Xenopus tropicalis: one gene and its partner. The protein of the gene in region 1 interacts with the protein of each later gene in a pairwise test. Links are inferred from orthologs where the notes say so. Each region holds a gene or a part of one and is shown on either strand. Other genes may lie near its edges.

What was found.
Region 2: the proteins of bnip3l (region 1) and smco4 interact in binary tests that used the Homo sapiens proteins (3 or more experiments, as listed by UniProt). The two-hybrid records come from large-scale screens. The link is inferred for Xenopus tropicalis from reciprocal best matches to the Homo sapiens genes BNIP3L and SMCO4.

Annotation. Positions count from the first base shown.
Region 1 is NC_030679.2:127,988,527-127,992,282, reverse strand, and holds the start of bnip3l (BCL2/adenovirus E1B 19 kDa protein-interacting protein 3-like), read right to left. Parts: upstream 2,449-3,756; 5' UTR 2,441-2,448; coding exon 2,395-2,440; intron 2,354-2,394; exon of another isoform or gene 2,273-2,353; coding exon of another isoform or gene 2,179-2,272; intron 1-2,178.
Region 2 is NC_030678.2:165,806,568-165,809,943, reverse strand, and holds the end of smco4 (single-pass membrane and coiled-coil domain-containing protein 4), read right to left. Parts: intron 1,233-3,376; 5' UTR 1,161-1,232; coding exon 981-1,160; 3' UTR 561-980; downstream 1-560.

The sequences.
Region 1 (3,756 bases):
ACCATTCCTCACAAGCAATGAAGGTCTAGAAACCCACAGAAATCAATAAGTAGTATTTACTAGCCACCCACTTTAAACTCAAAACCACTTGGTTGGTTACTATGGGTTACTCGAACGGTGTAAACACTTATGATCTTATGATAGTGTCCCCAAAGGTGCAGCTACAATGAAACATATGCCACACACCTACCCCGCTGTCTCAGCGTCCAACATCAACATCACCAGATTTCTGGCAAACACAGCGCAATACATATTCAAATGCTTCCTCTGACAGTTAGGCATGTAAACATAACAAAGAGAAGCCTGAAAGGGGAACTATCACAAAGGCATAAATGCAACAGAAGCCTCATTTCATGAGACCAAAACTTTCTCCTAAACGACTACTTTCTATTACCAATAAGATGAAGCTTAAATTCAGAAAGAAAAACAGTTATGGGACATTACAGCTGCAGTGAATGGATTCATAGAAATAGTATATATTTTTCCCTAAAGATGATGTAGTGACTGACACACGTTTGGCCATGTTACATAACCATATAAAAAACAAATAAACAGAACCTGGGCTAGCTAGAGAAAACAATGAACTGCCAGGTACAGGTATGGCTTTCCTTATCCGGAAACCCATTATCGGAAAGGCCGTCTCCCATAGACTCCATTATAAGCAAATAATTCTGACATTTAAAAATGATTCCTTTTTTTCTATAATAATAATAAAACAGAACCTTGTTCTTGATCCCAACTAAGATATAATTACCCCTTATTGGGGGCAGAACAGCCCTATTGGATTTATTTAATGGTTAAATGATTCCCTTTTCTCTGTAATAATAAAACAGTACCTGTACTTGATCCCAACTAAGATATAATTAATCCTTATTGGGGGCAAAACAAGCCTATTGGGTTTATTTAATATTTAAATGATTTTTAGCAGACAAGTTATGGAGATCCAAATTACTGAAAGATCCCTTATCCAGAAAACCTCAGGTCCAGAGCATTCTGGATAACAGGTCCCATACCTGTACATGTATAACACCAACATTGTCCCAATATAAACCAATATCACTGGCTATGACTACCAGATTTATTATAATCTCACTCTCCTGCAATTAGGCAGTCATAATACAGAGTGCTACAGTAAAATGTCTTATTTGGAATATTTTTCATAGGGCTAGCCCTGGCATGCCGTCTCTTGGCCGGGAGTGTCCAAAGGATTACATGACTAACAACATGCCAAAAGTCTTGCTACCATGCAATTGTATGCATTATAAAACACACACACACATACCTCTCTAAAGGTGGCCATACACGGGCTGATTGCAGCTGCCGATATCGGCCCCTTAGAGCGATTTTGTACCTTATTGGCCTGTGTAGTGGCCCTAACAACAGGCCTGCCCGACCGATATCTGGCCTGAAATTGGGCAGGTTAAAAAATTTAGTAGGATCGGGGACCACATCGGCTCGTTGATGCGGTCCCCGAACCAACTGTGCCTATTACCGGCGCTCTAATTCGATTGTTTGGCCCCAGGGCCAAACGACCAAATTAGCCTAAATTCACCAAATTTGGGAGATCCGCTCGCTTGTATGGCCACCTTTAGTCATCAGTCTAAGGCTGAGGTCCCCAAACTTACCGGCCTTTGAGCCACATTCAAATATAAAAAGACTTGTGGGGCAACAAAATACAGCATATTAGAAGTGAATGAGGCAGAGGTGACTTCTAATATCCTTATATTTGACAACAGGGGGTATATTATTTCTTATAATAAACACATTTCAGCAAGTCATGTGAAAGATGACATCATTAAGGAGCATTTCTAAGGATACAAGGTACAGAACAGCCAAGGCTCCTGTGTATTAGAAATATATATTAAACATGATCTGAAAGATACATAGTAACATATATTTAAAGTAAATAACAGATGGCAAGTGTTTGGCGATGACAGTGAGTGTACATGAAGCTATAGGCTGGCCCGTACATAAACACACACGTCATCATTCCCACACACCCACCCGTGTAAGTGTGCCTCGGCACTGGCAGCCACATGACTGGGCACATGTATGAAGCACTAATAGCGAAACCATCACACTATCAAGCTCTTTGATATGAATAAAGTACAGTAACCCACAACAACAATGCAGCGCCGCTTCTCCCTCTAGTCTAGTCCATGTAAGCTCCGCCCTTACCTACACCTAAATCTCCCATTGGACCGCATCCGTCATTCCAAGTTCCAGTCCCGCCTACACTCATTATCGATTGGCTCCCACAGCTGCCCATCATGGGATCCCGCCTAAGCTTCGCACCCAAACATTGTCCTGAGCTCGTTCAAATTCTCGCCGTTCGACCCAATTGACGGGCGCTGGAATCGAAACGAGGTCCTAGTTACACAATGTGCTTCTTACCGTGCAGCGCGGCCTCCTCCCCGTTGTTGTTATTGTTCTCGGACATGGCGACAGCAGCAGCTTTTAGTCTGTCCGGGAGACGGAGCCGCACTGCGCAGCCACGCCCCGTCTGACGTTAATCAGCCTCATCACCTGAGGCGGAGGGGGCGGAGTCGGCTGATCACGTGATGTTGTTAACCCGTAACGCAGTACTGCCTCTCATTTGTTGCTTCTGACAACTGTGCGATAGTTTGTTTTAAATTATGGTGTCACCTATTGTTTAGGGCAGTGATCCCCAACCAGTGGCTCAGGGGCAACATGTTGCTCCCCAACCCTTTGGATGTTGCTCTCAGTGCCCCCAAACCAGGGAGTTATTTTTGAATTCCTGACTTGGGGGCAAGTTTTGGTTGAATAAAAACAAGATTTCCTACCAAATAAAGCCCCTGTAAGCTGATAGTGTGCATAGAGGCCCCTAATAGCCAATCACAGCCCTTATTTGGCAACTCCATGAACTTTTATGGTGCTTGTGTTGCTCCCCAAGTCTTTTTACATTTGACTGTGGCTCATGGGTAAGAAAGCTTGGGGATCCCTGGTTTAGGGTCTTGTCTTATGGTCCCCATACATGGGCCGACTATAGCTGCCGATATTGGTCCCTTGGACCGATTCGGCAGCTAATCGGCCCATGTATGGGGAGAGCAGAGCGGCCTGGCCGACCGATATCTGACCTGAAATTGGCCAGATCTTGATCGGCCAGGTTAGAAAATCCGGTCGGATCGGGGACCGCATCGGCTCGTTGATGCCCCATTGCAGCCCACATAATCCCCCCAGACCCCAGGGCCAAACGATCGGATTATTCTTTTTTTTACCTAAATTCTCCCCGATATCGCCCACCTGTAGTTGGGGATATCGGGTGAAGATCCGCTCGCTTGGCGACATCGCCAAGCGAGCGGATCTGTTCGTGTATGGCCACCTTAAGCCATTTTTAAACGTATGGGACCGGTCTGCTACTGTCTAATCGCTTATAGGCTCAGCAGGGAGCATGACTGGTCAGGTGTGTAAAGGCATGGCTGAGTTGCTGTGGGTGACTGGATATGGGTGAACTTTGTGCTTTGGTGTGTTTGGTTGTTTACATATGGGGGTTATTAACACTGACACGGGAAATACTCCTACAGAAATGAGAACTTATTTTTGAGTGGCTTTAGCTGCCCCCCTAAATCACACTAAGGGGCATATTTATATATATTTATATAAAAAGCTGTGTAATATAAATGGAAAAGATCGCCGCCTGAACGCCGGATATTACGCCGTTATTTTCCATAAGTTCCAGGGGAAGAAAAAACGCGTAAAAAATTACCACCATTTTTACGCTGTTTCTACACAGCG
Region 2 (3,376 bases), on another chromosome or scaffold:
TCGGCAGCTAATTGGCCCGTGTATGGGCACTACCGACGGGCCTGCCCTACCAATATCTGGCCTGAAATTGGGCAGATATCCATCGGGAAGGGTAAAAAATCTAGTCAAATCGGGGACCACATCGGCTTGTTGATGCGGTCCCGGACCGACTTTGCCTGTACCTGTCGTTATAATTCGATCTTTTGGCCCCAGGGACAAACGATTGAATTAGCTTGGATTCTCCCGATATCGCCCACCCGTAGGAGCGAGCGGATCGGCCCGTGTATGGGGACCTTTAGTCTTTGTGCATTTTGGCCAACTTCTGAGCTCACTTGGGCCCATCTGGTCTTTCAGCGCTCATATCTTGGGTTGGGGGGGGACCATATCCAACTGGGCTGGTAGATTGAAAAACATGACTGGATATTTGGAATAGTTGGGGAGGTGATTACTATTAGCCTGTGCTTTCAAGAGAATCTGGATTGGTGTCCAGTGTTTGGCCAACCTAGCCAATGCACCATTCAGCACACAGCCTGGTTCTCTGATACGCACAATATTCTTTTCAGTGGACAGCACACAATATATATTTTTTCATTCTTTATTCCAAAAATAAATATCAGAGATGGAGGATACAATATAGAGAATCAACATTACCGTAAGGTAGCGTCCTTTGGCAACTGCATAAAGAACACAGATACGAGGTTCTTGAAACATTGACATTAGGGCAATACTGTTTTCAGATTATGGGGGGTCATTTACACTGTTGTATCAGCATATTTTATTTTAAAAAAAATCATTATAAAAGGCACAGTAATCGTTTTACTGGAAATGCATGGCACGTTTGTTATCCGTATTTGCTTCTCGTTACATTCAGAACAGGACAGTCGGCGCTAAAAACACTGCAGGTGATTCAAGGGTCCATTTTACAAACTGGTAAAATTTCTAAAATAAAAAAAAAAATTCTGTTTTTGGCTCCATTGCCAGAAGGCAGCTGTGAGAGGAATCTACTCTATTGTGTTTGGCCGTGTTGCCACGTAGACAAATACGACAATTAATGCCACGACCACGGCCAGCGTGGGAAGCACTACAGTGGTTATCTGCTGCCGGGCCTCTTGCATGGCCTGTTTCCTCTCCTTTTTATCTTTCGACGTCTCTTTCTTGGGCTTTCCCTTCAGCTGCCGCATCGTGACTCCTTCGGCTCAAACCGGTGGTGCTGCCAAGTTACGCGCCTCTTCAGATTTCAGCAGGTTGTGTTTCTGTAAATGAACAAAAAGGATTTAAAATACGTCCCTTAGACTGATTCGGCAGCTTATTGGCCCATGTAGGGGCAGAAACGACGGGCCTGCCCGACCAATATCTGGCCTGAAATCGGGCAGGTTAAAACATTTAGTCGGATCGGGGACCACAAAACCGGCTGTGCCTATTACCAGCATTCTAATTCGATCGTTTGGCCCCGGGGCCAAACAGCCTAAATTCACCCGATATCGCCCACCCGTAGGTGGGGATAACGGGAGAAGATCTGCTCGCTTGCCGACCTTGCCAAGCACGCGGATCTTAACGTGTATGGCCACCTTAACGGTTACAGCAGGGTTGCCCCCCAACCTTTTTACTCATCTACCACACTTAGGGGCCCATTCATTAAACCACGATTTTTGGGTGGTTTAAAGCACGATTGGAAAAAAATCGGAGTAACCACGATAATTTCTGATGTTCAAAAATGTCACGAAAATTATTTTCTTGGTCGTACGAAAATACTGTGGTTGCGATCGGAAAGTCACAAAATTTTCAGATCCAAACGTTCGGAAACTTCAATGCATGATTTTGGAAGTCTCCCATAGGACTCAATGGCAATCGACAGATCCAACCTGACTTTTTCGTGGAAGTTAACGAAAACCACAAAAGTCGTGGAATTTTAATGATATTATCGTGGACATTAATTTGTGGTTTAATGAATGGGCCCCTTAGACATAAAAGGTGTTGGGGAGCCACACAAGCATGAAAAAAGTTAATTGGGGAGAGCAAATAAGGGCTGTGATTGGCTATTTGGTAGCCCCATAGGGACAGGAGGCTGCTTGGAGTAAAACTACATTTTTATGCTCCCAAGAAACTTGTCTCCAAGCCAGAAATGAGAGGATGAAGGCCTAAATGGGAGGCTGCAGGACTCGATGGCTAAAAGGATTCCAGCAGGGTATCGGCCCACTGAGCGCACAATTATAAGCTATTATCAATACAATGGAAACCTCTTTCATACAAAAACAGAACTGTTGCTGCACTTGTGTTTTATATCCTTTTATTACCTGACAAATGCTGGGGATGTGCCGGCTGCGGATCAGTACAACACTGATACCCCCTAGGGATCCAGGTCATGGCTAAATAACGGTTACTGGGAAGCAGCAACATCAACGGCTTTGTTAAAAACTGCAGCACTTACACCTCTACAAACCCCTCATTTATTGCCATATACCATTTATCTACCAGCACTCTGCCCGCAGATTCTCTGCACTACTCTGTCATTTTCTATTTCATTGAAGCTCCATCCAGTCTGTTAACCTGTTCATTGCACTACTGGAATGGAATCTTAACCACAGTAAGGAAACGAGCAGGATAGTAATGGGATTAATTAACACTATGGGGGCACAATGCAGCCCCTGGTGAAATCCTGGGTCTGTTTGAAAGGAACTGGTTGTCAGCTGACATTACCATGTGACTCCCAACCCACCCCTGTGGGACTGTTCCATTTGCATACACAGTAGCTTTCAAGGTTAACCCCATTAGGCTTAGGCTGTGGGGAAAATGCAGGCCGAGAATCAGCCCCTCTAAAAGCATTCCTCCCAACATTTGAAAAATGAAAAGAGGGACAAAAAGATTTGGCGCGCGCAGAAATAGAAAGTGCCCCCCATTGACCCCATAGACAGTGCCCCCCCATTGACCCCATAGAAAGTGCCCCCATTGACCCCATAGAAATTGCCCCCCATTGACCCCATAGAAAGTGCCCCCCATTGACCCCATAGAAAGTGCCCCCCATTGACCCCATAGAAAGTGCCCCCCATTGACCCCATAGAAAGTGCCCCCAATTGACCCCATAAAAAGTGCTCCCCATTGACCCCATAGAAAGTGCCCCCCCCATTGACCCCATAGAAAGTGCCCCCAATTGCCCCAGACAGTAGCCCCCATACACAGTGCCCACATACACAGTGCTCCTTCTGCGGCTGCGACAGGCCCTTTTATAAGGTTGTGCCCCATGTGTACGTGTGACGTCAATATGCACGGGCACAACCTTATAAAAGGGCCTGTCGCCGCCACACAAGGAGCAGGAGCGCCCAGCTACAGCCATTACATCCCAGTGTCCAGGATAGTTCAATGAATGTCCTGCATTTGCTTAATCTATTACGGAAATGCG